Diceros bicornis minor: one gene and its partners. The protein of the gene in region 1 purifies or fractionates together with the protein of each later gene. This does not show direct contact. Links are inferred from orthologs where the notes say so. Each region holds a gene or a part of one and is shown on either strand. Other genes may lie near its edges. The genes, in order: CSNK2B, ZNF687, EIF3J and RPS6KA3.

Evidence for each region.
Region 2: the proteins of CSNK2B (region 1) and ZNF687 purify together in Homo sapiens (co-immunoprecipitation; 3 studies listed by BioGRID and IntAct, with this or other methods). This does not show direct contact. The link is inferred for Diceros bicornis minor from reciprocal best matches to the Homo sapiens genes CSNK2B and ZNF687.
Region 3: the proteins of CSNK2B (region 1) and EIF3J purify together in Homo sapiens (co-immunoprecipitation; 3 studies listed by BioGRID and IntAct, with this or other methods). This does not show direct contact. The link is inferred for Diceros bicornis minor from reciprocal best matches to the Homo sapiens genes CSNK2B and EIF3J.
Region 4: the proteins of CSNK2B (region 1) and RPS6KA3 purify together in Homo sapiens (affinity purification with mass spectrometry; 5 studies listed by BioGRID and IntAct, with this or other methods). This does not show direct contact. The link is inferred for Diceros bicornis minor from reciprocal best matches to the Homo sapiens genes CSNK2B and RPS6KA3.

The regions. Positions count from the first base shown.
Region 1 is NC_080753.1:33,097,599-33,104,881, forward strand, and holds the start of CSNK2B (casein kinase II subunit beta), read right to left. Parts: upstream 3,016-7,283; 5' UTR 2,791-3,015; intron 2,559-2,790; exon of another isoform or gene 2,511-2,558; intron 2,181-2,510; 5' UTR 2,170-2,180; coding exon 2,098-2,169; intron 1,144-2,097; coding exon 1,041-1,143; intron 463-1,040; coding exon 347-462; intron 1-346. Other genes in the region: GPANK1 (G patch domain and ankyrin repeat-containing protein 1), read left to right, coding at 4,588-5,198, 5,761-6,205. UniProt on the Homo sapiens protein: Regulatory subunit of casein kinase II/CK2.
Region 2 is NC_080743.1:55,552,749-55,560,550, forward strand, and holds the start of ZNF687 (zinc finger protein 687), read left to right. Parts: upstream 1-4,792; 5' UTR 4,793-4,877; exon of another isoform or gene 4,878-4,892; intron 4,893-4,921; exon of another isoform or gene 4,922-5,082; intron 5,083-5,286; exon of another isoform or gene 5,287-6,391; intron 6,392-7,802. UniProt on the Homo sapiens protein: May be involved in transcriptional regulation.
Region 3 is NC_080744.1:41,734,462-41,742,435, forward strand, and holds the start of EIF3J (eukaryotic translation initiation factor 3 subunit J), read left to right. Parts: upstream 1-4,961; 5' UTR 4,962-5,256; coding exon 5,257-5,290; intron 5,291-5,376; coding exon 5,377-5,480; intron 5,481-7,974. UniProt on the Homo sapiens protein: Component of the eukaryotic translation initiation factor 3 (eIF-3) complex, which is required for several steps in the initiation of protein synthesis.
Region 4 is NC_080781.1:16,902,467-16,910,188, reverse strand, and holds the start of RPS6KA3 (ribosomal protein S6 kinase alpha-3), read left to right. Parts: upstream 1-4,715; 5' UTR 4,716-4,962; coding exon 4,963-5,031; intron 5,032-7,722. UniProt on the Homo sapiens protein: Serine/threonine-protein kinase that acts downstream of ERK (MAPK1/ERK2 and MAPK3/ERK1) signaling and mediates mitogenic and stress-induced activation of the transcription factors CREB1, ETV1/ER81 and NR4A1/NUR77, regulates translation through RPS6 and EIF4B phosphorylation, and mediates cellular proliferation, survival, and differentiation by modulating mTOR signaling and repressing pro-apoptotic function of BAD and DAPK1.

The DNA of each region.
Region 1 (7,283 bases):
CTCTGTCCAGAGGCCCCTTCTCTGGCCCAGGCTGGCCCTCAGACTCCTCTGCTTCCTTTCCTCCAGTTAGGCAGGCTGTAGACCATCAGAACCATCTGCTGTTTATTCCCTGAGGAAGAGGCAGTCTGTAACAACTTCCCATCCAAGGTCGTTGTCTCCCTCCCTGAAAACGCCCCCTTCACACAACCCTCAACCAGGATTTCATTCCCAGGCCCAGGTTCTGGGGTTCTTCCCCTCTTCTCAGCTAGACTCCTTGACAGGGTTGAAACACATGACTTCTTGCTGTGGGAACCTCTGTTTTCCTTATTGCCTCAGAAGGAATCAAGTGGGAGCAGAGAGGCCTCACCATCTGGGCGATGCCACGGTTGGTGAGGATATAGCGGGCGTGGATCAATCCATAAAGCATCTCAGCTGCCTGCTCAATCAGGTCACTCTGGTTGGGGTTGTCTTCCAGCTCTTCATCTGAAACATGGCCCCGGCCGAATGTAACCACTTGACTTACAGCTTTTTAAAGATGCCCTGCCCACCCCAAGGGGCTGCTGCCTACTCACTTTGCCCAGCACCCACCTTTGAGCCTCACCCCACCCATCACCTGGGCATTTGACCCAGAAACCTGGGCCTCTGCCCTTCCACGAACCCAAGGCAGCTCTGCCTTCTCTCTACACCTCTTCAGCTTCTGCTCTTTTCTCTCCCTCCCAACTCCCTCCTCAACACACAAATGCAAAGATGTCACTGCAGAATATGAACTCCAGACCAGAAGGTGCAAGGCAGGAGAAACAAGCAGCAAATGAGACCCAGGGGGAGACCAGCATTATGCAACAGAGCTGAGTTATAGAATCAGAGTATGGGAATAAGTGGTATAAATCACAAAACTAGGCAAGAGTCAGGTGGGGGATCAAAATGAGGTAGGGGATTTTGGGTTAAGGGAATCATAAAACCAAAAGGAAATTCAGAAATTCAAGAAGCAGGTGAACAGGAATTTGAAACGAAAAAAAAAAAAAAAAGGCTACACACACAAAACAACCCTGAGGGTGCCTCACCAGGTTCCAGGTCCAAGATCATGTCTAGAGCTTGTCGATAGTGAGGCACCTGCTCATTGAGTCCAGTGAGATTGAATTTGTCCTGGATGTAGTCTTCATCCACCTGTCAGGATATGGAAGTCAAGAGGGAACCTAGTTATAAGGCAGTTATAATCCCTTATAGTAGAACGCTCAGCTTTGACCTGGGCAAGTTGCTCAAACTGATGCTTTATCCTCTACACAACTGCTTCTATTCCCCTTGTGACCCACTCTCAACTTGGCAGAAGGACCTGAGACTCTCTCCTCAGTTTACACACACTGCCCTCCCATAAAAGCTTTGACTTTTCTTCTTTTTTAATTTTATTTATTTTTTTCTCCCAAAGCCCCAGTAGATAGTTGTATGTCACAGCTGCACATCCTTCTAGTTGCTGTATGGGGGACACAGCCTCAGCATGGCCAGAGAAGCGGTGCGTCGGTGCGCGCCTGGGATCCGAACCCGGGCCGCCAGCAGCAGAGCGCGCGCACTCAACTGCTAAGCCACCGGGCCGGCCCTGGCTTTTCTTTTCTAAGGATAAGCAATCTCTTCCTCAGAGAGACAACTCCTTCCAAGATCCCTGTCTCTGCTCCTGCCCCATCTCTAGGAGACAGTTCTGTCCTCTCCTTAGGGGCAGGTGGCTCTCTCAGGAACGCAGAGGCTGAACGGCTTAGGTTCTGAAGATAGTTACAATCCCTTATGTTAACACTTAGCTTTGCACATTATAAAATATCTTAATATGCAGTGTTTCAATTCTCCTAAAAGTCACCGGAGATCGGTACTACCAGCACCACTCTAATAACAAAAAAAGGGAAGACACAGGTTGACTTGTCCAACATTACATTGCTGGAGGGTGGCAGGGTTGGGACTTGGGCCCCAGTCTTGCCACTTCATCACAAGTTAGTGGGGGTTACCGAGGGGACTCTTCCTCGACAGGAAAAAGTTTCTACAGAAGCATCTGAGTGAAGTGTGAGGAAGCTAAATATGCGGGAGGATATCTGGCCAGACTATAAGTGAAGATGTGCAGGGAGATTGAGAACTCACTTCGCAAAAGAACTCATTGCCACGGAGACCACAGAACCAGGAAATCCAGGATACCTCCTCTGAGCTGCTCATCTTTACGTCAGCTGCAAAAAGAAGGGCGTAAGTAGAGTCCAAGCTCTCCCTCCCTGCTTCTGGTATCTTCCCTCCTCCCACACTTTGCTCTCCAACCACGAAAGAATTTGGGCCACCTTTTCTTAAAGGATTCTAGACTCTGGAGCGCCTCCCTTCAGTTCCTCTGGGTTACACCTCAGCCTATCTTATCCGACATTAGAAAATCTTTGAGGTCCCATCACTTGCGAGAAACGCACACATCCTGACCCACCAAGTCCTACCCACATCCCTCACGCTCCCGAAGGCCAGGCTCCTCTGCCCTCCCTATCAACTCCCACAGGCCCTCCGCTCGGGCTCCCTACCCCCGCAGATGTCTGCATGCTCCCTGGCGCTTTTCCCAAGGGTTTCCAAGTTTATCCTTTTCAAGCAAGAGCTGGGCCCCCTCTTTTCTCACGGCCAGGGGTGACCGTCAGGTCCCTTTCACCGGAGTCCCCACATCCCGCCTCCGCCCCTCAAGCCATCCCTCCCTCCCTCGGTGCCGCACCGGGTCACTTCCTTCTCCGCCTCCACATTAAGGAGCGGAGACCCCATGTGCCGCGCCCAGGGACAGGGGACTCGGTGCGGCGACGACCTCAGACTCACCGGGTGGACGAGGGCCGGGACCAGGGTGGGGGAGGGGAGCTGCTGCTTCCAAAGAACCGCGGCGACCGCTACAGCGCAGGCCGCGGACCCGACCGCGGCAGGCGAGTGGGGCGGGGGGAGTGGAAATCGGGGAGGGTGGGGGAAGAGGGCAACGCGCAAGCGCCAAGAGTCGAGTGCCCGAGTGGACGCCGGGAGACGGAGTCCTCGGTGGGGCGAAACTGGCGAAACGAGGGAAAGGCGAACTACGAATCCCAGGATGACTCTCACACGACCCTGGTGTCGCGAGGCCGCTGGGGAAGACGCTTGGGGGCGGGGCGCAGTGAGGCGCCACCGGAAGAGGAAGCCCAGTACGGCGTCTGGGCCAGGGAGCTTGGGAAATATAGTCGTGTGATCCGGGGACCGAGGGGCCAAGAGGGGGCGGGGAAAGGAACGAGTCTGGCTGGATCGTTTCCTGCCGCTCCCGTGACGCCTAGCCCCGGCGCGCCTTTGCTACCCAGGGGACTACTGACCCCATCTCCGGCCAACCCGCCGAGTCTTTATCGCCTGTCGAGCCCCTCACCCGAGTCAGGCCCGCCACTGGAGACCCCCGATGGGGCCTATGTTTCACCCCGGGCTTCGGCCTCCTGGGACGGGAGGTGAGGCCGGGCTCCGTGCTGAGGGACCTGGGTAGGGTGTGCTGAGCTGAGCTGAGCGGTGTGAGAGCCGGGACGGCCCAGTGCGCTAACCTGAGGTGGTGCCAGCCATTCTGCTGCTTGTCCCCTTGCACTTCTCCATTTCGTCTTAAGGCTTGAAGGGGGCCTTCTGCTGCGGGCTCTAAGTGTGACCTTCGAACCCTGGGCAGTAATGGTGAGGGGCAGCGCGACGTTATTTCATTTCACAGCTTCTAGGCATTCCACAAGTTTCCCTCCGCTTCCTCACGGCCTTTCTTAACTCAGAGAGTGGTTTCCCAGCTCCAGAAAATGAGTTCGGAGCGGGGGCCAAGTAGAGGAAGGCGAAGAGCATTCTGGGGGTGTTATGTAAAAGTAGGACCCCCCCCCCCCAACCGACAGATCCTCCTCGCTCCTCGCGGTACCTCGGCACGTGGCGCACTGGGCGCACAGTATTGAAAAGGGTCAAGGGCGGGAAACTGAACCCGTGCTTTGCGCATGCCTGCTCCCTCTACTAATGTTTTTGTTTTTGTTTTTTTCCCAGCCACGCATGCATCTTCGTGTCGTGTGGTTATTTGATTGTGTCAACTCTTTTGCTTGGAGTAGCGCCATTTTGCAGTACGGAAGCTACAAATCATCGCAGACCAGAGCATCTCCCTGAAATCTGCTTCCGCAGAAGTGTTAAGTCTGTGGAGAAGTGTCAAGTCTGTTTTCATTTGGGAAGAGGATACCGAAGCAGGATCAAGGAAGATTTAAAGGGCCAGGCTGATTGTTTTTCTTAATGGTATGTCTTAACGGGGTGGTAAAGTGGTTTCAGAGAGAGGCTGTTGTTATTTATTGTTGGTGAGGATGGGGGTGGACCACAAGACCTCTGGACGACTGTCTCATGTTGTTGTCTTTGTTAACCTTTACTATGGGGCATGGTCTGTTATTATAGGGTTTCCTGTTTTTTCACATGACTTAGGTCCCATAGGCCCTGCAGGGTCCTAGGTTGTGGGGTCATTTTTGGGGCAGGAGGGGGATTTTGACTCTAAGGTTACTTTTCTTCATCCCAGCAGGCATCTGGAGGTGGCTCTGGTCACTGCAGGGCCACTAGGGGGTCGGCTTGCTTGTCTCATCCTCCCCTTGCGTAGTCTGTTTCCCAAAAGCCATGTCCAGGCCCTCGCTCATCACCTTCACCCCGGCCACTGACCCCAGCGACCTCTGGAAAGATGGGCAGCAGCAGTCACAGCTTGAAGAGCTGGAGCCCACCCTGGATGGGGCTGCAGCCCGGGCTTTCTATGAGGCCTTGATTGGGGATGAGAGCAGTACCTCTGAACCCCAGAGAGCTCAGCCTGAGCCTGCCAGTGACAGAAAGAGGAAGAAAAGAAGAATGATGAGGGAGGCTGCAGCAGGAGCATCAGGAGGACATGGACAAAGGAGATCCCTTGAAGCTGAGGACAAGATGACCCAGTGGATACTGAGGGCAGCCCAGGAGGGGAATGTGGCAGAACTAAGAAGGCTGTTGGATCCCCAGGAAGCAGGGGGAGCTGGAGGGAATATCAATGCTCGGGATGCCTTCTGGTGGACTCCCCTGATGTGTGCTGCCCGAGCAGGCCAGGGGGCGGCTGTGCGCTATCTCCTGGGCCGTGGGGCTGCTTGGGTGGGGGTCTGTGAGCTGGGTGGCAGGGATGCTGCTCAGCTGGCCGAAGAAGCAGGCTTCCCTGAGGTGGCCCGCATGGTCAGAGAGAGCCACGGAGAGACGAGGAGTCCAGAGAATCGGTGAGGGGAAGCCTTAGCCCATATCCGTCTTTCACTGTGTTCTGTCCTTCCTAGCCACTTCACACCAGAGACCCCAGAACAGAGCTGAAGGTTTCTTTCCCCCATCCCCCAGTGTAGGTTGATAAGGCAGTGTGGCAGAGTGGGTATGAATATGAGTTCCCTGGGTTTAAATCTTGATTCTCCTTACTTGGGCAAGCAACCTAATGTCTATGCGCCTCAGTTTCTTTATCTGAGAAATGGGGGTAATAACAGCACCTTTCTCATAGGGTTGTTAGGATTAAATAGGTTAATATGTGCTAGAACAATGCTTGCCACATAGTAAGCACTATATAAATATTAGCTATAATCATTATTATTATTCTTCCCCCGCCCAAGAGCCTGTGAGGCCTGGTTACCATCTCCTTCTCCCAACTATTCCCCTCTGGGTCCCTCATTACTAAGTGGGGAGAAGAAAATTTGTTCCTTAGCAGCAAGACTGGAAGGACCCTGTCCCACCCTGACACTCCTCTCTGAGGCCTCAACCCTTCCCTTGCTCTCAACCCTTTCTCTTTTTCCTCTGCAGGTCCCAATCCCCTTCCCCCCAGTACTGTGAGAGCTGTGACGCCCACTTCCAAGACTCTAACCACCGCACATCCACTGCTCACCTGCTGTCACTGTCTCGGAATCTCCAGCCCCCCAACCTGCCCCTTGGGGTGCCCACCTCCAGCCCAGGCTTCAAGATGCTGCTGAGGGAGGGCTGGGAGCCTGGAATGGGGCTGGGACCGCGGGGCGAGGGCCGCGCCAATCCCATCCCCACTGTCCTCAAGAGGGACCAGGAAGGATTAGGCTACAGATCAGTGCCCCAGCCCCGAGTCACACACTTCCTGGCTCGGGATACCCGGGCTGTGGCTGGGAGGGAGAGAGCCCCTCGGGTGATCACACTGAGTCGGAGGGAGGAGAGAAGGCAGGAGGAGAAGGACAGGGCCTGGGAGCGGGATCTGAGGACATACATGAACCTTGAGTTCTGACCTTAGCAAGGTCTGACTCTGGTCTGCTGCTCAAGTCTGAAGTTGGGCTTTTGAACTGGACACTTTGGCTTCTATTTCCTAAGGTCTGCCCAGGTCCTAGACCCTCAGGTTTTGGTCAGTGGGCTCTGCCTTTGGGGGAGAGGGGCTGAGAGTTGAGAAATAAATAAACCTTCTCGCTCTTTTGTGTTTTATTTACTTTTCTGGAAGCTGTTGCAGGGAAGCCAAACAAGTCTGGGGGCCACATGCAAGTCCCACCTGAGACAGAAGGGGCAGCCCCTCCAGGTGGCATGAGAGGGTCACCTCCCTGCCAGTCTGGTTCACTTCCAGGTCCTAGCCCCTACCTGGAGTGCCCCACCTATTCTTTTACCCCCTGAACGGGAATTGCCCAGCCCTGTGTAAGTCTCACCTCTCCCAGGAAGTGTCCCTGACTACTCTAGCCAATTCAATCACTGATTTCAAAAAACAAGTTCATATATTTTGTGCTGAGAATAGGAATAGGAGACTTTCCCAACCTTCAAGTTGCTCACAGCTGGAGAAGGAGATGCCCATGGGTTCAAATATACTGCATGGTGATAGGGGACATCAGGGAAAGCTCACAGAGGTGATGAGAGCAAGTAGGGTTTTGCAGGAAGAGGCCATTGTGGTGGGAGGACCTAAGATTATCCAGGCTGTACGCTGTTAGCTGAGCTGGGATCAGAACTCCGCCCTCCCAAATCTAAACTTTAAGCCAAGGTTCTTCATTTCACTACCTCAAAATTCCTAAGGGTAGGAAGCACATCGTATTGTCTATACTTGTGTTTTCCACACTCCCCTGTCTCCCTCCTGCTGCTCATACCAGGTGCCACGCACGTGAGGAGCTCACTGTTGTCAAATCCAGGAAGTAAAATCTGCGTGGAGGGGCAGGGAAGGGCTACTCAAGCCCCAAGACTCTTCTCGTAGCTTTTTTTTTTTTCCGGAGAAGCCTTTCATGAAGTCACAGACAAGAGGAGTGGTGGGGGGCTAAAGGGGACGCGCGAGTTTAGGGGAGCACAAGCGGCCCACGGGCCTCTGGGCGACGAAAAGGGAGGTGGGGTGGCGT
Region 2 (7,802 bases), on another chromosome or scaffold:
AAAAATAGAGCACCTGTCCATCAAAATACAGGGTCAAGAATATTCATAGTAGTTATGTTCACAATAGCCAAAAACTGGATACAACCAAAATGTCCATCAACAGTAGAATGGATAAATTGCGGTTTATTCATAAAATGAAATACTACATAGCAATAAAAAAGAATAAACTATTGCTACAACATGATTAGATCTCACAAACAAAATGTTGAGAGAAGGAAGCTAGATACACAATAATGGTAAAAGCAGAATGATGATAAAAGCAGAATAGCAGTAGCTATTGCCTGGGCAAGGCTAAGAGGGAGCCTTTGGGGAGCTAGAAATACGCACGCGCGCATGCACACACGCGCGCGCGCACACACACACACACACACTCATGGAGCAGTACATTCTGATTATACCGCCTCTCGTTGTTGCAGCCATCTACTGACCCCACCCCACTCTGTTACTACTCCTATACTACCCCTATCATAATTCTTGATTTCAATATCCTTTTAAATGAGCCTTTCAACCCCCTGGGCTCTCAGTCCCTTGATCTCCTCTTCTAGTCCATCCCTCTCTCTTGAATGCCTGTTTCCTACCTTCTCTCTCCTCAAAGCTCTAGCTCCTCCATCATCCTCACTCTCTTAGGGAATGATCTTGTTTCTTCACTGCGACAATAGAAGCAACTGAAGAGATCTACAGCCCCCTCGCATGTCCTCTTCCTCTGCCTTCTCTCTTGTTTTTATGGGTGAACTATCCTTGTCTCTCCATTTGTGAGAGAGACCCCACTCCTCACCTTTTTAAGCATTTGGCTCCAGAAAATTTTCTCTATCTCTTCGCTGCAACGTCAATTTTTCCTCTTCACAGGATCATTCCCACCAGTGTACTAACATACTGCAATTTCTTCATCTTGAAATAGTCCTTTCTTGACCCCTTTCCCCTCTAGTTACCATCTCATTTCTCTCCTTCCCTCCTTTGAAAGAATTGTCTATAGTCACTGTCTCCTTTTTTTCCCCCTCCTCCATTCTTTTGAAACCACTACATGCAAGCTTTTGTCGCTGCCAATCCACCAAATCTGTCCTTATCATGATCACCCATGACTTCCATTTTGCTTAATCCATTGGTTAACTCTCAGGTTTCATCATATTTGATCTTTTAGTGGCATCTGGCAGTTCATCATTCTTTCCTCCTTGAAACACTTTATTCGGTTTAAAGGCCACAACACTCTCCTGGTTCCCTCCTTCTCTTCGCTATTCTTTCTCAGTCTCCTTTACTGGTTCTTCTTACCTCTCTGACTTTTAAACTTTGGAGCTCCCCACAGCTCAGTCCTTGGACATTTTCTCTTTTCTATCCTCATATATTCCCTTGGTGATTTTATTCATTCTGAGCCAGATTTTAAATATTATCTATAAGCTGTTGACACCCAAAGTTATATCTCCACTTGGATGTGTCATATGACTGAACATGACTGAAATTGAACTACTGAACTTACCTTGGAACCCACTTCTCCTGTAGTCTTCCTAGCTCGGGAAATGGCAACATCAATCTTCTATTTCCTCAGGCCCCAAGCTTTTGAGTTTCTTTTTCTCATACCCCACATCCAATCTTTTTAGAAGGTAAGTCATGCCACCATGTCATTTGTCTCCTTCCCATCTCACTCTGAGAAAAAGCCAAAGAGACAAAGTCCTTCCAATAGCCCCCAAAGCATCCCATGACCTGGCCCACTAATCCCACCCCCTTACCTCTCTGGAACCCTCTACCACTTGTATTTGTTCCCTCTTTCCGGAACCTTGTCTTCCCAGACAGCTGCATGGCTCACTCACCAACTTCTGGCCTTTATTTAAATGCCACCTTCTCAGAGAGGCCTTCACTGCCCACCCTATCTAAAATTGCAACCCTCCCCACACTTTCTGTCCTCTTTCCCTGCTTTATTTTTTCACTTTAAAAAAAATTAGTAGACTTTGTTAGAACAGTTTTAGGTTTATAGAAAAATTGAGCAGGATTCCCATATATTTCCTTCCCCCTAGTTTCCCCTCTTAACATCTTGTATTAGTGTGGTACGTCTGTTACAATTAGTAAACTAATATTGATTCATTGTTATTAACTAAAGTCCATAGTTTACATTAGGGCTTTTGACAAATGCATAATGTCATGAATCCACTATTATAGCATCACAGAGAACAGTTTCACTGACCAAAAATCCCCTGTGCTCCACCTAGTCATCCCTCCCTCTATCTGAACGCTTAGCAACCTTTGTACCTTTTGTGTGTGTGTGTGAGGAAGATTAGCCCTGAGCTAGCATCCGATGCCAATCCTCCTCTTTTTGCTGAGGAAGATTAGCCCTGGGCTAACATCTGTGCCCATCTTCCTCTACTTTATATGGGACGCCGCCACAGCATGGCTTGCCAAGCCGTGCATCCGTCCGTGCCCCCGGTTCGGAACCTGTGAATCCCGGGCCACTGAAGCGGAGCGGGTGAACTTAACCGCTACGCCACTGGGCTGACCCCCCTTTTTACTTTTTAAACACAACTTTTTAATGTTTCCATAGTTTTGCCTTTTCCAGAATGTTATATAGTTGGAATCATACAATATATATAGCCCTTTCAGATTGGCTTCTTCCACATAGCAATGTGCCTTTAAAGTTCCTCCATGTCTTTTCGTGGCTTGATAGCCCTGCTTTATTTTTCCCTGTGGCAATGATCATTTCTAACGGGCTCCCATATATTTTACTTGTCATATTTATTGTTCGTTTTCTCCACAGGAACACGTTTCATGAGGACAGGGATTCTTGTCTGCTTTGTTCATTTCTGTATTCCCAGCGCCTACAACAGTGTTTTTACTCACAGACGGTGCTCAATAAATATTGATTAAATTAAGTTATTTCTTAAATGAATGAATAATGCATCTAACTGAAGAACAAATTTCTATCCAGAACCCTCCTGGCAAGGGAATCTGTGAAACATAATGTTTAACTTTTTGGACTCAGAATTTCAACTCCACTGCCTTTGACCCTGGGTAAGTCACCTAACCTAACCTGTCTGTGCAGCAGTTTCCTCCACAGTAAAATGGAGGTGATAATAGTACCGCCCTCACAGGGTTGTGGTAAAGATTAAATGAATTAATATACATAAAGTTCTTATAATAGGTCCCACACGTATATCTGAGTAGTAATTATTCCGTACAGAAAGACTCAGAGAGGAAGGTGGGAATGGAATACCGGTTGGCTACACCCAGTACGCGACTCTGAGTTAGTTGTTTCGAGATGGAAGAGCGCTGTGAGCTGGAGCAATGGCAGGCAACCTCGAGAAAGAAGGTGGTGGAGTGGGCGGGCACTAATCCCACTTGCCCATCACTTTACAAAGCACTTTTACATTCTAAACGCTTTTAATCTTCACAAAAGCAATCATGTCAGGTGGGTATTATAATCTCCATTTTACCAATGGGGAAACCGGTTCAGGGAGGTTCAGCGACTTGCCCGATGAAACCTATGCTAAGTGGTGGCCCCATCCAGAAGCTCTGATTCACACCTCAATACAGTCGCTATTACCCACGCAGACTCTCAGGGCGCGCACGAGTCCTGGTCCACGGGTCTAGTGACCCTCGAGCAGGGTACAGAACCACCTTAGTAACTACATCCAGGTTGTGAGCGACTGCGCGCGCGGCAGCTGCGGGGGCTCGCGGGCGGGCTAGAGTGTGCGCAAGGTGGCACACAGGGCTTGTGCGTGCTCATTAGAGTATCAGTGCAACTCGTTTTCCGAGCATCCCCTCCCCTTCCCCCGCCTCCAGGGGGCGGGGCAACAAAGCGCGGGAAAACCTGCCTCGACTCCACCCCCACCCCGTGCTGAGGGCGGGGAAAAGGAGAGCTCTTAAATGGGAAATGGATGCGTGTGTATGGGGAGGGGGTACCCCCCAACCTCGTGCTTAGTAAGCCTACCAGTATGCCGCTTTAAGATCCCTTTGGGAATGGCCCAGGCCACGCCAGCACTCCTAACGTCACCTCTCCCCTACTTCCGGTGTGCAAGCCCGTTCCAAGCCTCAGGTGCCTGTTCCTTCTGCGCTCCAAGTCCCGCCCCTGTCCCAAGCCCTCCCGGGAGGGAGGAGCTATGGGTGACGTCATCGCCAGGAGCTGGGAAGCGCGAGGACCCCAACCATCCAAATTATATGACAGTTTAGACTGGGAAAACAGAGAGGAAATGGTCACCAGATGACGTAAGGATTTGGGTGACGTCCCATTCTGTGACTTTTGCACTGTATGACTGATATTGGGGGTTAGCCTGAGCAAAAAGCGAAAACCGATCTACACATCCGGGGTCCACTGAGAGTCGACGATGTTCCCCTTAGTGTTCACCAAATAAAAGCTGAGAGTTCTTTAAATTTGCATAAGTGAACTGCAGGCTTCAAGGATCACGGCCAATAGGGAGTGAGGGGGCGGAGACGCACCTGGGATAGTCACCGCCTCCAGTAGGAAAGTCGGGAATCAGATTGGCTTCTTTCTAAACGACAGTAGCGGAGGCCAGTCGTTTTTGAGAAGCACAAATGGGGCAAGTGGGCCCCGGCGCAACCAATGGGGAGCAGCATCTTCAGAAGGACTAGGCTCCTTGCCCAATGAGGCTGGGAAGACTGTGCGGGGCTAGTTGCGAGCGGCAGTACTTAAGGCCAACCCAGTGCGGGGCTGGGAGGGGCGCAGTCCTGAACGACGGGGGTACTGGCCAATGGCGAGTGCGAAAGCGGGCAGCCCAGACCGGGAACGCGGAGGGAGCTGAGGGAGGGGGAGGCTAAACGGGGGAGAAGCAGGAAGTAGCGGCGGCCGCGGGGAGGGCGGCGGTGGCGGTGGCGGCGGCGGCGGCTGGAGCAGGGGAAAGAGCGCGGGGTCTCGGCCCGCACTAGGAGCGGAACGAGTAAGCGTGCCTGGGGTAAATACCCGCCCTTGGCCCCGCCCCCTGGGGGGGCGGGTAAATGCCCCCGCCCCTCCCCCACTTGGTCAACTACCCCCTTCTCCGCGCCGCCCCCTGGGGCAGCTTTTAGGAAGGCCCGACGCCACTTCCATCCCCTGGGGCGGATGGGCGAAACTCCCCGCCTGTTGAAAGCACAGCCCGTAGCCGGGTAAACGTGGAGGGAGGGTCGGAGTCCCCAAGTCCTGGCGCCCCCCAGCCCAAGAGGCGTCCGAAGCGCGGCTCGGGGACTGGAGGCTGCGGGATGTCGCGACCTAAAATGGTGTCCGTGTCCGGGGGTGGGGGCGGGGGAACTGGGCCAGGCCGGAGTGGAGCCTGCACCCTGACTGGGCGCAGGTCAGCGTCCGGGCCTGGGCCGGACTCGGGCTCGCGCCCCGGGACGCCGCGCGCTTTCTGCTCACTCCCCAGTCTCGAGAGACCCCCGGGAGTCCGCGGGAGGAGGAGGCTGCGCCGCGCGGGGAGAGGAGGGGACGAGGTCGGAGTTGGGACGGCCCCTTGCTGGAGAGCTTCGAGTCACGCAGAGACCGTCCCCTCCCCACTCCTCTCTTTCCACGCGCCTCCCCCGTCCCGTGTAGTCCTGGGCCCGGAGGTGCCCCGCGGCAGCTCCCTAAGGGTCTGGCCTGGCCGAGGCCGGTCCTTCCTTTCGCATGGCGGTGGGAGCGAGACAAACGCCACGCGCCTCAATTTCCCCTCTGGCTTCTCCTGTGCACACCCCGCCCCCTCCCACAACCCCGGACGTGCTCCCCGCGCCGGCCCTCGGCAGATGGCAGGGACTTAATTCCGCCCGCTGCCCAGCTTGGCGGCAGCCTAATCGCCCCGGCCGCCGGCCCCTCGCCCTCCTCTGCGTAGCAGGCCCCGGGCCAGAGAAAGGGTAATGGAGCTTCCACCCGACTTAGGCCAGTTCACCCTCTTCCTGTTCAGCCCCTTCTTTTGGCTTTTGGGGAAGAACAGAGGGAAAGGGAGGGCTGGAGCTCAAGAGACAGGGCGCAGCAGCCGCAGAAAGGCCTGGGCCGGTGGTGGGGGGAAGCCTCTTTGCCTTGAGCTCTGCTGTTTGGTTGACTATCCACTCCTGGCTATCGGATAACCTCTAAGTCTCTTGGACGCCAAAGGGGGAGCTGCTTGGGGGAGGCGAGTTCACAGAGGTTTTCTCATAGTCCCCACTGATCTCTGCTCCACCAGCTCACTTTTCTGAAGGCCTGAGTGAATGGTAGCTCAGGCCTCTCCAGGTCGGGAGAGAGCCAGGCACAGGAGGGCCCTGGTGATCCATCAGGCCAGAGGCATGGGGTGGAGGGCTTTGTTTAAACTCAGAGCCTGCAGAATTAAGTAGGGGAGGATGAGGGGAGGACTCCCCTTTCTTTCGCTAGTTGGTACCCTCTCCCTCCACCCCCACCTTGGTCCCAGCAATGCCAGCTGCCACCTGCTGGGACTATCTCCAGTTACAGTCTAAAGGCTGGAAAGAGGTGAGAATTGGCCCTGGGAAATGGCCTGCATCCTGGGTAGGGAATGTGTAAGGACAGAGCCTTCTTCAGTTGCTTTTTCCTAGATATAGAAGCCCTTGTAGGGAAAAACTGGTAGGGAACAGACTTGAGTCCCCCGCAAGCTCTAGGCTGGGCTTCTTGTTGGTTTAGTGCCACAGAAGTCCTGTGGGATTTTTTTTTTTTTTTAAATACTAGGCCAAATTGGGGTTGGGCGAGACTTCCTGGGCTCCTGTTGCCAGGGGAGAATTAAAAGGATGAGGAGTGTGAGTTAGGGGATAAACTGGGATGAAGAGCTCAGAACAGAAATGACAGGGGTGAGGGGGCCTGGCTTTTCCCCATTGTGGCAGCTGTGCTGGATAAGCTGGTACCCTGGAGTTTTAGCCCTGAGAGAGCAAGATGGGGAGGGAGAGAGGGAGGAGGGGCTGGCTGGGAGAGGGCCCCTGGAGGGCTGAGGCACTCTGGGGAAAGGTAGGTGAGTGAGCAGCAGGTGTTTGTGACAGGAGAGGCCTAGCCTGGGGCCCTTGTGACCAGACTGCTGCCACGGTTTTCCCCTCTGTCTCTTCTCTTTGTCTCTTTCTGTTCCTGTGTCTTATTCTTTCCATCTTGGTCTCTTGGGCGATTTCCCTGAGTCCACTTCTGCCTGTTAACCAAGCTAGATCTCCAGGTGCCGGTGATGACGCCAGGTGCCCCAGACTTGACCTTATATGATCCCTAACTCTTGTGTCTGATCTTAGCCCTGGATGTCCAGTGCTTACTCCTTTCCAGCTCCTCCTTAACCTGACATGTCCTTGTTTGTTCTAGCTGTAATAATAAGTCGTATTCTGGGTTCTGACTGTCAATGTTTACAATTCATATCATGCTCAGAATAACCCTATGATATATGGATTACCTGCCCCCTCTTTCAAACAGCAAAAGTAAGGCAGTGGAGTAACTTCCTTATACAGCAGGCCATTGATAAAGCTGGAACTCGAATCATTTCTCACGTCTTGGCTTGAGTCACTTCCCCTTTGTACACATGGCTTTTCAGATCTCTGTGGACCCCTAGAAGATCCATGAAGAATATGAATGGATGCCATGCTGCCATGAATGAGCCCTTAAATCTAGACCATTGTGTACATCCTCCTTGATAGTAGTATTGATTAATTGATTCTATGTTGGGCACAGGAGGGGCTGAGGTGGTTTCAACCAAGATGCTCACTGAACTCCCTCTGTCTCTATCACCCTTATCTCTTATCTGTATTTCTCAGGAATCTCTTTTTCTCTGCTTTCTCTGCATCTTGATGTCTTCCCTGGAATGTGCACAGTACCTCCCTTTCAATTTTACGGTTTGGCAAACCAGTCACCTGTACCAGCTCTCTGGGATTTGCAGTATGGTGGAGGTGTACGCAAGTCA
Region 3 (7,974 bases), on another chromosome or scaffold:
TTACTGGAAAGATAGTGGGGTACCCCGTGGCATTTAAGGAAGAGCTGGACAACTGGACCTCAAGGGAATGCATGAGGCAGTAAAGTGGCTTGGGAAATCATCACTCCAACAGGAGCTTGTGGTCTTCCCTTCAGGGTGCTGTCATCAGCCACCAACTCCCAGGCCCTGAGAGTCTTGAGTTCCAAATTCTAAAGTCCTAGGAAAGAGAATCTTTCTGTTATCATTGCATAACAATTCACCTCAAAACTTAAGAGGCTTAAGATGACATCTCTCACAGATCTGTGGGTTGAGTGGGCTCAGCTGGGCAACTCTTGGCTTGGGGTCTTCTGTGATTGCATCAAAAAAGTAGTTGGAGATGGAATCATTTGAAGGCTCAACTAGGCTGGATGTCCAAGATGGCTTCTTCACTCCTATATCTGTTATCTCTGCTGGGATAATCTGAAACAGCCAGCGGCTGGCTGAGTATTTCTCTCTCCCTAAACAGCCTCTCCATATAGTTAGCTTGAATCAGCATGATAGTAAGACTTCCTAAATGGTGGCTGACTTCCACCAGAGTGAGCATTCCAAAAGGTGCAGGTGGAAGCTGCAAGGCTTGTTGTGGCCTAGCTTTAGATGTCATTTCTGTCCTATTCTACTGGTCAAAAATGAATCACAAGGCTAGCCCAGACTCAAGGGGAAGAGACTACATAAGGAGTTGAGTACTGCTCACTAAAGGGCCATCTTTGGAGACCATCAGAGAATCTGGTGGTTCCACTGGGTTACTTACATCCCATCTAGGGGCAGATTCAGATTTTATATGGTTTGAAGCATATACAATTTGGAGGGCTTTCTTGAAGAATGGAAGGGGCCCATGCAATGAGGGTCCCTCAAGCTAAAGCTTCATTAGCTTCAGTTAATCTGCTTCTGACCCCCTTCCCAAATCAGCTATGGTAATGGAGCAAACATGACCCTAGGGAGTCCACCTACTCTTGTATACTAGGACAATTTTCAGAAAAGGAATTATTATTATTTTTAAATACCTTTGTTATGGACAATTTTTTTTTTTTGTGAGGAAGATCAGCCCTGAGCTAACATCCATGCCAATCCTCCTCTTTTTGCTGAGGAAGACCAGCCCTGAGCTAACATCTATTGCCAATCCTCCTCCTTTTTTTCCCTTTTTCTCCCCAAAGCCCCAGTGGATAGTTGTATGTCATAGTTGCACATCCTTCTAGTTGCTGTATGTAGGACGTGGCCTCAGCATGGCCGGAGAAGCGGTGCGTTGGTGTGCACCGAGGATCCGAACCCGGGCCGCCAGTAGTGGAGTGCATGCACTTAACCACTAAGCCACGGGGCAGGCCCCAGAAAAGGAATTATTGTGAGCTTTCCCCACCCCTCACCAGAAGTGCCCAATGTTCAGTTCAATATAATCTGATCATTTGAATCACAAGAACCCAGGTCTCTTGACTTCCAACAGTGAATTTTCAAATATACCATAATTCATAGTATTTTAAAATTTATATTTTTTACCAAAAAAAGTGGTAGAATTGGAAGGATACAAAATTTTTTTAAAAACTTACTATCCTTTCTATACCTTTTTCCTCTGGCTGCTGCTTAAATGTTATGTCCTTCAAGGTTTCTTCTCATTCTTTCCTATCTTCAGATGGCCTCTACTTCCACATGATTCCATCCACCACCATAATCAGATGACTCCAAATCTTCTATCTGGAGCCCAGATTTCTTCAGTTCCAAATGTGTCCTAGACATTTCCATTTGGATGTCCCATAGGAATATCAAGATCTGAGTGGCCAAAACTTAATTTATCCTTATTCCTTATTATGATGAGAGGCACCATTCAGTCATTTTCAGAAACATTTATTGAGCATTTACTACATGGCAGACACTGGGAGTACAGTAGTCAAGAACACAAGGTCCCTGTGCTTCAAACAGACATTAAATAAACAAGGTCATTAGAGATTGTGATAAATGCTATGACAAAAACAGAGTGACGAGATAGAGTCACTAGGGGAGGCCCCTTGCAGGAGGGAGATCAGGGAAGAAAGAGCTTTTTGCAAAGGTAACATATGAACTTTGATTTGAAGGAGGAAGAAAAGCCAACCATACAAAGAGGTGTGGAAGAGCACTGTAGGCAGAAAGAACAGCAAGTGCAAAGTCCAAAAATAGGGAAAGGCTTAGTAGGCCCTCTACCTGAGGGCCAGGAGCAACTGAGGTTAATGAAAGAGAATGGCATAAGGGGCTTGGTGGGAGGAGGCAGGAGTCAGGAGTCAGGAGTCAGACTATACAGGGCCTTGTAAGCTATAGTAAGGAGTTGGATTTTACCCTAAAAATAACAAGAAGCCACTAAAGGGATTTCAACTGAGAGAAAGGGGTGTGACGATCTGATTTACAATTTTTTTTTTTGGTGAGGGAGATGGGACCTGAGCTAACATCTATTGCCAGTCTTCCTCTTTTTGCTTGAGGAAGATTGTCCCTGAGCTAACATGTGTGCCAATCTTCTTCTATTTTTTGTATGTGGGATGCCGCCATAGCATGGCTTAATGAGCTGTGCATAGGTCCACACCTGGAATCCGAACCCATGAACCCCAGACCACCGAAGCAGAGCACGCAAACTTAACCACTACACCAGTGGGCTGGCCCCTGATTTACATTTTTAAATTAAAAAAACTGCCTGGTGCGTAGTGAATAGATTGTGGAGAGGGAAGAGTGGAAGCAGGAAAACCAATTGGGAGGTTATTATACTAGAACAGTCTAGAGAAAGCTTGGATTGAGGTGGTAGCAAGAGTCAGGGGGGTAATTAAATGAACTCAAGATTAATATTGGTAGTAATTCACAGAACTTGGTGATGGATTGAATTTAGGGGGTGAGAGAGAGGAAGAAAGCAAGGAAAGCTCACAGGTTTTTGACTTGAGCATCTATAGATGGGCGTCACCACCACTCACTCAATCTCCAAAGGCATTACCTTCTATGTACTTCTCCCTTCCCCTCCTCCTCCATATCCAGTCAATCACTGTAGCAGTCAGGGTTATCCAGAGAAAAAGAACCAATAGGATGTGTATATATACACAGAAAAAGGTTTATTTTAAGGAACTGGCTTGCAGGATTGCGGGAGCTGGCAAGTCCAAAATCTGCAGGGCAGGCCAGCAGGCTGGAGACCCAGGGGAGAGCTGATGCTGCAGAGTCCAAAGGCAGTCTGGTGGTAGAATTCCTTTTTCCTCATTATGTTTTCTTAAGGCCTTCAACTGATTAGATGAGACCTAGCCACATTAGGGAGGGTAATCTGCTTTACTCAAAGTCTACTGATTTAACTGTTAATCACATACAACAAATACATTCGCAGCAACAACTAGAATAGTGATTGACCAAAAACTGGGTAGATGGCCTAGCTAAGTTGGCACATAAAATTAACCATCATAGTCACTAAATTCTGTTGATTTTGACCCTTAAATATTTCTCAGATTTGTTCCTTCTTTCCTGTCGCCCTTGCCTTACTTTTAGGCTTGTATTCTTCTCATTTAATTCATAAAATATTTACTTATGTATTAGATACTGTGCCAAATACTGGAGATACACTGTGAATAAAAGATTGTGCCCTAAGGACCTTATATTCCAGTCTTTCCCTGCCTTCTGTCTTGCCTCCTTCCAATCCATCTTTCTAAATGGATGCCTGTATATCATTGCCTCTCACACTTTAATGCACAAAGTCTCATCTGAAGATCTTGTTAAAAGGCAGATTCTGATTCAGTAGGTCTGGGATGGGGCCTGAGATTCTGCATTTCTAACAAGCTCCCAAGGTGTTGCTGCTGATGGAGGGACAAACTTTAAGTAATTGGGCTGTAGAATCTCTCTTAAAAGCCCATCTTTACGAAATGTGTATTTGTAGACTCTCTGAAAAGATACACAAGAAATGGGGAACAATGGTTGCCACTAGAAAGAATAGAATAGCTGAACACTGTATACAGCTTTTTATAACTTGAATGTTGTACCAAGTATGTATTCGACAATAAAACATGTGAAACTGCTCTCCTCTTAAACCCTCTGCAGCAAAGACCAGTGGCCCAAAAGGCAGAGTGCAGCTTAGCCTATCTTAAGCCCTTTATTATGATCAGTTTACCTGCTCAGCTTATCTGCGATTGTCTCACTCAGTCAGGTGAGGGACCATATGCGTTCTTTCTATTGGAAGTGCACTTGAGCAAACTTCACTTGGTCTTTCAAACTCCAATTTCCGCAGCGCTTACCTCAAGAAGACTTTCATGCATCCCCGCTCCCCCCGCCGTTATTGTTACCTTTTTACATTAACCTCACAATGTTTCTTTTTGTTGCAGCCATCACACTGTGTCGAAACTTGTTTACACGTCTATCTATGTTACTTGATTATGCGCTCCTTGAAGACAAGGCTAGAGTTTATGCCTAGCGCAGACTGAGTTTCAAAATTATTCTACGAAATAATGAATCATGTACTGGCCTCATGAGGCTCACAGGACAGGAAAATCCTCGAGCACTGGGGCTCTCTTCGATCCCTTCGTGACTAACTCGACGCAAACGTGCCAGGAGCTGACTCCAAGCACCCTGGCTGGGAAGAGTGCCAGGAACGCGGCTCTCTCCACTCGCTCCTTCCCGGGCGCCCCGCGCACACCGGCTTCCCGAGGGATCCCTCCTCCCCCAGCGCGCGAGCGGGCCCTCGGGGGGTCAGCGAGGCCCGTCCACCGCCCCCAGAGGCGGCCGTGGCGTTCAGAGTCCGCTTCTCAGCGCGGCGTGAAGAGGCTGGGGGTCTCCACAAGCAGCCACAGGCGGCGATCAAAGTGACCAGAGGGAGGGCGCACCCGACCAGTCGGGGCGGGGCTGGGCTTGGTAGGGGAAGGATGGCGAGAACAGGCGAGGGCCAAGCGCCAGGCAAGGTACCGCCCTGCTAAGTTCCCCGCACTCACGTTTCCTCCCCGGGGCCCAGGCTAGGGTGGCGGTCTCCGGCCTCTTCATCTCTCCCCGCCCCACTATCCACCAGGACTGTTCCGCGTCGTGGGGTACCGGACGCTCGCCTCGCCAGCCCGCGCTACCCACGCCCCACTGACCGCATTCCACGCCCCCTTCCCGCCTGCGCGCGCGTCCCCGCCGCCACCAGAGGGGGCGGGGCCTGGGTCCCGGCGTAGTCAGCCACGGTCCCAGCCTGCCCCGCGCCAGCCAACGAGAGCAAATCCAGTGACTCACCTCCGCCGCGCTAACTCTTCTCGCTCACTCCTCACACACGCTCACGCCCGGCTCGAGATGGCGGCTGCGGCGGGGGACTCCGACTCCTGGGGTGAGCAAAAGTTCCGGGGGCAGGGCCCGGGCCGGCGCTGGCACCATGCCGAGACAGGGACTAACGCGGCTCGCTCTCTTCCGTAGACGCAGACACGTTCTCCGTGGAAGACCCGGTGCGGAAAGTGGGGGGCGGCGGCACCGCCGGCGGGGACCGCTGGGAAGGCGAGGACGAGGACGAGGACGTCAAGGTGGGTGCGGGCCGGGGCTCCGGGCAGCGCGGGAGCGGACTGGCGCCGTCGCGGGCGGGGTTGCCTGCCGACGGGCGGGCTGATGGACTCTGGGCCCAGGGGCGCCGCCCGGGCCTCCAGGCGCGATCGTAGGGCCTGGCGGTGCCCCCTTCCCCTCCGCTCGCCGGCCGTACGGACCGGAGACGGGCAGCGTTGCCTCGGACTTCCTTGGCGAGGGCGGCGGCCGGGCCCCAGCCCTTGTTTGAGGGTCCGCGCTCCGGCCTGGATTCCACCCCCCAACTGGCGACAGGAGATGACAGCAGCGTCTGGGCCGGTCCACGTGCAGACTTCGCGGCCCGGAGCCGCTCCCCGGGGTGAGACTGGGAAGTTGGGGATTGAGCCGCATGGCTCGTCCCATATGGAAAGTCTTGCAACCCACCTGCCTCTTCGAGCTCAGGTCTCCCCAGGGCCAGTAACTAATTTATGTCTCCGAAGGCCCATTTGTAGAATTTGTTCAAGCAGTTAGATGAGTGAAATATTGTTTAATTTCAATCTATTTTTCATAAAAGACAAATAAAAACAATAAAGTGAAATAAGTTTTAGCCTTCCTTCCCCGACCCTGTGGTAAAAGGATAAACTGAGTCCTGAGATAGCCCACAGTTAATGGTCAGAAACCTGAAAAATGGGGAGTTGACAGAGTGAGTTATTCGTCTAAACACGAGTGACGTCCAAAGAAATATTGAAGATTTAGTGGTTGGAGTGGACGAGGCAGGGCAGTGTTTATTTTTTCCTATTGCTTGTAGGTGTGAACCAGATACCTTCCTCGTTTGTGTTTTGAAAACTCTTGGGGGGCCTCCGCATATGGCTTCAGATGACATCGTGACTACTGCATTCCTTGTTTTTTTTTTTTCCCTTTGAAGTAGCTACAGAAGTCTCAAGCCCAGAATGTTAAGACTCTTATTGACAAAGTTCTCCAAGTCTTATACTGTATTTGTGTAGATAAAGTTTTGTATGGATTGGAAATGTTTTTTTTGTGGTTTTGATTCATTTGGTGAATGTTTTAATCTCCTAACTTCCACCCTTCAGCACATACTGAGAACCCTACAGTTCCTTCTGCTTGGGTTGAAAAAATTTATGCTAATCACTATGAACTTAATACTACCTTTGTTTGGATTTTACTGTTTTGTCTTGAGTCTGATGACGTGGATGTCCAGTTTATCAAACAGCCAGGTACAGGAATGAAGTGAGCTTTGCACCCTTTGGGGTTAATAAATGAGTAGTACTATTGTGAGGATACTTAGATGCTTTATTTACTTGTTGTGTAGACATGGGAATGGATTGTGTTGTCAGACTCATTACAAGATATGTCACCTTCCCACATTGTAGTGAATTTTCTGTTTTGAGCCTTTAGTTCAGATTTGTCCATTCACTTTTTCTGTGCATACTGGATGTAGCATTTAAGACATCTGTTATGAAAATTGGGAACAAGTTGGCAAATGAGAAGAAAAGATTAGAGAAATCAGGAAAGAAGTACCAGAAAATGAAGTTTGAATGGATCAGTCTAGACTGATCATGAAGTAGCCTGCCTGAGGTTATTGAATCTAAATGGTGTCAATCCTGATAAATATAATTCTGACCACTTGGAACTAATTTTGGAGATTTACAAGTTTTAAGGGACCATAAAGATCATCTTGTCCAGTCACCCTTTCAGTGCCGAGTTTCTTTTATACAAATAGCTTATTTCTTTTCTTCTTTTTTTTTTTGTGAGGAACATCAGCCCTGAGCTAACATCCATGCCAATCCTCCTCTTTTTGCTGAGGAAGACCAGCCCTGAGTTAACATCTGTTGCCAGTCCTCCTTTTTTCCCCTTTTTCTCCCCAAAGCCCCAGTAGATAGCTGTATGTCATAGTTGCACATCCTTCTAGTTGCTGTATGTAGGACGCCGCCTCAGCATGGCCTGACAAGCGGTGCATCGGTTCGCGCCAGGGATCCAAACCTGGAGCGCGCACACAGCTAAGCCACGGGGCCAGCCCCACTAATAGCTTCTTTCTTTTTTTGTTTTTTGGTGAGGAAGATCAGCCCTGAGCTAACATCCAATGCCAATCGTCCTCTTTTTTTGCTGAGGAAGACTGGCCCTGGGCTAACATCTGTGCTCATCTTCGACTTTATATGGGATGCTGCCTCAGCATGGCTTGACAAGCGGTGCGTTGGTGCGTGCCCGGGATCCGAACCTGCAAACCCTGGGCCGGGCTGTCGAAGCAGAGTGCGCACACTTAACTGCTATGCCACCGGGCCGGCCCCGGCTTATTTCTTTTACATAAACTTTGACGTCGATCTTGGAGAAGAAAGCTGAACTGTCTGTTTTATTTCCAAGTTGAAATGTTGGTTTCTTTCTTTTGAGTTTCTCCAAGATTCCCAAGATACGGTAGCTATGGAGTAGTTTGATTCCTGGACTTGGGAATCAGGCAGACCTGGGTTTATATTGTTGCCTTGACATTTTCTATATTTGTGGTCA
Region 4 (7,722 bases), on another chromosome or scaffold:
GCTCTTTTATTTGAATTCCACAGGAAGTTACTCACAGTATCATTTTTTGTGATACAAGAGTGCCCTAGAGAAATAGATCATACCATAATAAAATGCTCACACAACAAATGGAAAGAAGTAACTTTCAAGAGTGAAGTATTTGAACTACATTATGTATGCAGGAATACTCCTTTCTGAATAAAGCTGATAAAAATAGCTCCACTTATTGAGTGCTTCCTATGTGGCAGGCACTGTGCTTAATGCTTACAGACATTATTTGCATTTAATCATCCCCAAAATCCTACGCACGAGGTGGGTTTTATTATCCTTATTTCCAGATGAGGGAAACAAAGCTTATTCTGCGAATATTTATTGAGCAACTACTATGTGCCAGACCCTGTTCTAGGCCTTCAAGTTGAAGCTTAGAGATGTAGAGGAACCTGGAGTTTGGACACAGGCCTGTCTCTGCTCTTATCATGAGCCCACACTGCCTTGCTGGGAAGAATGTTAAACATTTCAAGTATTTGTATCGTAGAATGGCTTCCCCTTAGTTCCTTATAGATTTTATTAGCATCTTTCATCATGTGCAACTCTAGAATCATTGAACTTTCTATCTGGAGGGAAACCTAGAGAAGATCCTTACATTTTCCAAAATTTGAATTCTCTCAAATAAAATTTTCAAATAGATGTAGAAATTCCTGTTGTCTCTTAAGATGTGTGTCAATCAGGAAAATACTCTTAATAATTTTTATTTAGGAAATTTCAAAGAAAAAAATGGAATTCATACACGTGAAAGATATGTCACCATGCATTTTGTTTAATTATTGTCTTATGTGAGATAAAATTTAAGCCTAAGTTTTATCTCTTTGGAAAGAAATAGTTAAATAGTCTCTAGTGATTACTTTTTCTGTGAAAAATAAATATGCTTCAGATAATGTAAAGGGAAAAAACTTTTTCAGAGAGGTGATGATGATTACGCTTCATTTTCTATGGTGGTGACAAACCTATATGTAACAGAGCTGTGAATTTTGGATGTATGTGAGGTAGATTGTGCCATGAGCCATAGTTAGTCATCTTGTAACTTTTCCAGACTGATGTAACTCCATTTTTTGAACAAATGTTATTTTGTTAAGTAAATGCCCATTTAAACTTGTATACAAAGGTTATAATTATAGCAGGAAATTGTTGGGGACAGAGGAGGTTAAATCTGGTTGTCCTGTCATACATTAGGAATGATTTCTTGGAAATCTAGCCCAGATTTTCGACTGAGGTTTGCTGTCTCCCTTTGCTGTAGTTTCAAGTAATAACTTTCCAATATTTTGGTTCTGACTGAGAGATTTATGGGGGGGGGGGCATAGATTCAGTAGGTAACTGAATCAGCCCTTTGTGCTGATTTTGCACAGAGGAGCCCAAAAAGATAGCGGAATGTGAGGATATCACTGAACATTATAGGTCTTGTAGGAATACAGAAAAGGGTCAGTGTTAAAGGAAAGTTCTAAAGCAGGGCTGTCCTATAGAACTATAATGCCAATCTTGACAAATAAGCCACATATGTAAGTATACATTTTATAGTAGCCACATAAAAAAAGTAAAAAGAAACAGTTGAAATTAATTTTAACGAAATATTTTATTTAACTCAATATTCAAAATATCATTTCAACATGTAGTCAGTATAAAAATTATTAATGAGGGGAAGTGGTGGGGGGAAGGCAAAAGGGATAAAGGGGCACATACATATGGTGATGGATAAAAACTAGACTATTGGTGGTGAATACAATGCAGTCTATACAAAAACTGACATATAATAATGTACACATTAAATTTACACAATGTCATAAGCCAATATGACTGCAAAAAAATAATTTTTAAAAATTATTAATGAGATACTTTACGTTCTTTTTTTTGGTACTGTCTTTGAAATCTGGTGTGAACTTTACACTTATAGCACATCTCAATTGGGACCAGCCAACCTTATTTTAAGTGCTCAAGAGCCACATGTGGCTAGTGGCTACCATATTAGCCTGAATAACTACACTTCGAGTTTTCCTTTCTTAAACAGGAAAAAAAATTAATCCTGCTCAGGCAATATCAGCTTCTACGTTCAAATAACTTTTTTTGCTGCCACCTACAAGAAAAAATTGATTTTTTGATTTTCCCAAATTCTCCAGCCAGAGAGAGTGGTTGCACCACTCTTGGATTTAATAAAAGAAACGAAAAAAGTTTATTGTTAACCAAAAGAAAAAAAACTTGCTTTCTTTTCTTTTTGGGCAAAAGTAAGGAGAATAGCGTTTTTCTAAATCAAGTCACAAATACTTATCAAGTTGATCGTATATTCAAGACAGCTGTGCTAGTGGTTCTTTAGTCTATTATTAACAGTTCGTTTAATGCTTAATTCCGGCAGTGTGACCACTGTTCACATTAGTTTTACAGATCAATTAACTTTGTTTTAAAAGTTATTCCTCTAGTTCTCAAGGTAAAAAGAAATGAATAAAAGTTGATACTGAAATCAACTTTTCAGTATACAAACAATCTGATTTATTTTAAAAAGGTTAGTTCACTGAGTGGAGTAATTAGCGCTGGACAATGTTAAATACATAATAACCGTCTCTTTTCAGCTATGTATGTTTTTCCTAAAGCAAGAATGTTAATTGGAATAATTGATCACTGTTTGGGGGGCTAATTTACCTTAAACTAACCAAATTGACCAACTTCTTTTCGGTATAAGGAATGGAAACGTGGCTTTGCAATGTAAATGAAAGATAAATTAGGCACTTTGTACGTAAATGCAAAAAAACCCACAACTACTTGTCTTCAGACTTCTGCAAGCTGGTTTTACCCTCAGGAATTATAGAAACGGTGCTCGCAAATTAGCTGAGTTTGGGTCCAGATTGGATTCGCAGCACTTGAATCAAGCCTGTTGGGGGAGGTGACAAAATCGCGAGTTAAGTCCTCCCCACCCCCCACCCCACAGACCACGCTGAGCCTGCCCAGATGTTGCTCAACCCTGAGCTGTCCCCCTGAGTCCAAGGCTGCGGGAGAGGGCGCGCAGCGAGGATTTCCGGCCGCCTCCTCAGGTTCCCTAAACAGATGGAGCCTCTTCAGGAGGCCATGAGGCTCCCGGGCCTCGAGCCTGTGCCAAGGGGCGCGCCGGCGAAGGCCGCAGAAAAAGCCCAACACCTGCCTCTTTCCGGCCCAGCGAGAAACCTTGCACCGCCCGCGCAGACCTGGCCGGCTAGGTGTGGGGCTCTAATCGCATCCTCACACCTGCGTTAGGGAGGAAGGCGAGGGCTCTCCAGGTGTCTGCGTCCCGGAAGGACGAAAGGGAGCTGTTAAGAGGCGTGCACCAGGAGCGCAGCGGGGGACGCGCTGTGGTCGCCGGGCGTGGGAGGACCCGGACGCCTGGGCCGAAGCCTGAGGGGATGAAGGCACTGGCCGGCCTGGAGATTTTCCTTTACTTTTTTCCTTTTCCTTGTAGGGCTGTTAGCCACTGGCTGTAGTAGCTTTCCACTCAGACCGGCGACTTTTACACAGTTCTGCCCTGGCGCACTGAGCTCGCCACGACACCTGGCGCTGGGAACACGGGGTAGAACCCCCCCCGGGACCCACTCCAGACGCCCAGGCCTCTCCCCACAAGCTCTCTTCGTCCTCTTGGGCTCCGTCGCCGTCTGGGGATTGGGTTTCCTTAACCCAGGGCTTCCCTATCTTGGGCAGGAGGAGGAGTTAGAACCCCTCCCTCTCTCCCCCTCCTCCACCCATCGCCAACCCGATTTTTAATCTAATCTTTTATTTAAAGTCAACAGAGGAGCAGGAACCCCGGGCTCCTGCCAACAAGATATTTTTAAATAATTCCCCAACCTCTGCTGAGAGAGGCAGCCTTAAGGAACCTCCTTGTTTTCTCTTTCGTCAAGATTTAGGCAGCAGGGAGTGGGGGTGGCTTCGAGGGTCAAGGCTGAAGCCCGAGGGCTCTGCGGACTTGAGGGAGGGGGCGACTCCTGCAAGACGAATGAATTCCAAATATTAAAAATATAATACGAGAGCGTCAATTTGGAGAGTCTTGAATCAAACCGAGAGCCGAACCCCCAGAGGGCTCCAGGGCACGAAGCCTTCCGTGTCCCTGTCGTGGGGCGTGTGGAGAGGGGGCAGGTGAATGCCCAGCTTGTGACCCTGAAGAGGGCGTGTCCTGGGCCATGACGGGATGTGCCTATAGACTCCGCGCGCCTATACGCACTCACGGAGGGCTCAGGCGGAAAAGACACCCACGCCCCCTCTCGGGGTCCTTGGCACCAAACCGCGCCCCCCGCGCCTCGCCCATCTCTTTCCCCAGCTGGGCGGGGACCACTGTTCTCTACATCCTCAAGGAGCTTCCGACCTACTGGGTCCCGTGGCACTTAAAGGCTCCCAGCCTTTCTCCCCTCCTGCCTGTCCCCTCTTTTTTCCCCCGCCTCCCGCCGACGCCCCCAGATCTCTCGGACTCGCCCTTCCTGAAAGTAGGCGAGGCCCAGAAGCTGAGGCTGGGGCGAGGAAGGAAGGAGGAGCGCAGCGCGGCGGCCGGGGGCGTGTCTTCCCAAGCCCCGCCCCCGGGTGCGCGCGGCGGTGGTGGCGGCTGCCGAGCCTCGCTCTGAGAGACAGGTATCGCTTAGGCGCCATGTTGTGAGCGGAAGTGGGGGAGCGCGCGGCGGCCGCAGTTCTGCTGGGAGCGGGCGCGGGAACCGGCGGGGCGGGGGGCGGAGCTGTAGTCCCGGCGGCGGAAGGAGGAGAGGAAGAAAGGGGCGAGACCCGGTGCCCGGCAGCGGCGCGAGGCTCTCGCTCGGCGCGCGGACGTCTCCAGCCGGGCACGCGGCATTCGAGGGTCGGTGTCGGCGCCGAGCCCTCTCCCGGGCAGCCGCCGCTGCTGCCGTGGGGCTCGGGCGGCGACGGAGCGGGGCTGGCCGCGGGGCGGGCGGGGAGGGAGGAGGCGGTGAAGGCGGCGGGCCGGGGGGGAAGATGCCGCTGGCGCAGCTGGCGGACCCGTGGCAGAAGATGGCTGTGGAGAGCCCGTCCGACAGCGCTGAGGTGAGTGCAGCCGGGCGGCCGGGGCTGGCTCGTACCCTCCCTCCCCTCCCCTCGCCCCCGCCGGCTCGCTCCCCACCCGGGAGTCGGACACTCGGCCCCTTCCTCAGCCGCTCGCGTCTCGCCTCGGTCTGGGATTCCGGTTTGGGTAGTTGGGGTTGGTCTCTCTGCCCTTCTGTTCCTCCCACCCGCACCCACACCTCCCCTCCCTCGCTCGGGGGGCTGTGGGGTGGTGGCGCGTGGGGTTTGGAGTGGGCGCTGGGGCTTTGGAAGAAGCCGATTTTAATCAGCTTCGCGTGGGGGGAGCGGGAGGCGGAGCGGGGGCCGGCGAGGAGTTGGGAAGTTTGGCCCTGCCGGGTTGGGGGCTTCCCTGGCCCCGGGTGACTTTGGGCGATGAGGGAGGGGTAGGGATTGGGTTCACCGGGGAGCAGGGACTCTCGAGTCCGGCCGGGGGAGGGGGTTGCTGCGGGGACACGGGCGCGCGGGGGCAGGGACGGCGACCTGTGGGGGTTTCGGGTAGGGAGTGCAGGACAGCCCAGGGGTTTTGCCTCCCCCCATCTGCCGCAGCGGTTTCTGCTGCTGCAAAGGAGAAAGTGGAAGCCTGAGGTCCCCCCCCCCCGCGTTTCTGAGGTCGCTGAGCTCGAGGACCCGGCCCCCGCGAGTTTAACTTGAGTTTCCTGTCCATGGAGGTGAGAGGGTGATATTCAAGGAGACCAGCGGCCGCCGTAAAGGGCTGTCGGGTTTTCCTCGCCCGGGATCTGGTGACCGTCCCTGAGACACCCTCCCGAGTGCTAAAAAACCCAAACAATATACCCAAACAGGGCAAAACAGAATTTCCCCGGACACCCCACGGCACTGAGCTTTTCGCAGTCGCCCCTGTCCCGGAACCAACTCGGGGTCTGCGAAAATAATCCAGACAAGACCCATTCCAGGGCATCAGCGCTCCTCTCCGGAGTGGAAAATCAATTCCTGATGGTGGCGCGTCTGTGATTCTTCCTTCTTGACTTTTTTGCTGTCTTCTATCCCCACAGCGGACTTTGGGGGATTACAGGATGATAGGCTGCGTGTGTGTAATAGTTACTGAGTGAGTGACCCCATTTCTGGAAAGCATGACTGAAACGCGGGGGTGGAATGGGGCAGGCTCTGATGAGTGGTGTACTTGGCGGCCGCCGCTGCCCTGCCGGCCTCCGCAGTGTGAGAGGTGGATAGGGTTACTGGTTACGTCAGTACGACCGAGGCTCAGTTTGATCTGAGATGCGGGACACTTGCATTCTCCAGCATATAATGAAGGGGGAGGGGGATCCGTTCTAATCGCTTTTCAGTGTTTTCCTAGTCACCTCCACTGCTGTATAAAATGTTTACTTGCTCTCCCTAACGCAAGCAGAGTTGTAATAGTGCTTACGATTGGTGCTTAGTATTTTGCGACTTAGATCGTATTTTTAAAACCTAAACGCTGCTCTTGAATAAGAAAGACATTGATATATGTTACCTAAAATTTTTTTAAAGGGAATCATGTTTTTAAGACTGGCAGGATTACGAGAATTTCATTTAAAATTGTGTTAGCCAGTCTAATACTATAAATCTTTTATAAGAAAATCAAATTTAGAATGTTTAATCATCCTTCGAATGGTTAGTGTGAAAAGTAGTATGCCAGGGGGCTCTTTTCATTCATTTTTTTTCCTTCAGAAATTTTTTTTTGCGTTAAATAATATAGCTACAAGGTTGATAAAATATGTTCTCAAAGTGCTGACCTTGTGGAAAGAAATTGAATTTGCTTTGAGCCTGATTTTTAGATGCAAACCTTAACATTTGCAACTCATAATCAGTTCACATTTCTGCTTGGCACGTATCAATGTGAAAAAAAAATCGTTTAAAATTCCACCTTGTCCTTTTCTATGTAGCGTACATTTGGATAAGGAAGGCACAAAACTGGTATTTACTTAGCACTTATTATATGCCAGATACCGTGCTACATCCTATTTCATTTTCTTTCCTTGACCCAACAGAATAGGATTACGGTCCCTATTGTTACAGATTAAGAAACTGAATCTCAGAAGTTAAAGGCCCAAAGATTATAAATAGTAGATGGCAGAGCCATAATTCAAAGCCAGGTGGATATAATTCATGTCCTTTGCTTTATATTAGGGTAGCTGCTTCAGATCCTTTGTGGAAAAATTCAGGGTATAAATAAATAAGCCAGTAGTTAGAGGTCATGTGTTTTTCAGAAACAATTATGGTATTACAAGAGGTCTCATTTGTTAAAGTACTTATTTCGGTTACTGTCATGGTTTCCAGAACTTGGCAGATAGGATTCCGCAATTTGCCATGTTCAAAGAATTTTCTTGATATTCTGGCATGAGGTATGTCAAACAGCCAGTGTTGCCTAGATTTATTAAAACTAGATTTTAACAAATTGCCTTTAGATATTTTGTTGCCTTTGGTTGTTCAGCTGTTTCAAGTAAATTGCTTCTGATAGAAATTTGGAAATATTGAGACCAGTAAGGAAAAGGTTGAGAGTTTTCTTTCAAAAGTCTAATATTGGGCTTAATATTATGCCATCTCCTCCCCAGTAGGTTCTTATCAGAGAATAATTGTATTTTACCAGAGTAAAATCAGTTTTTTAAGATAGTCATTTACTTGAGTAAATACATCAAAAGTTTTCTCTCCAGGCTAGAAGATGTCAAGGTTGGTCTC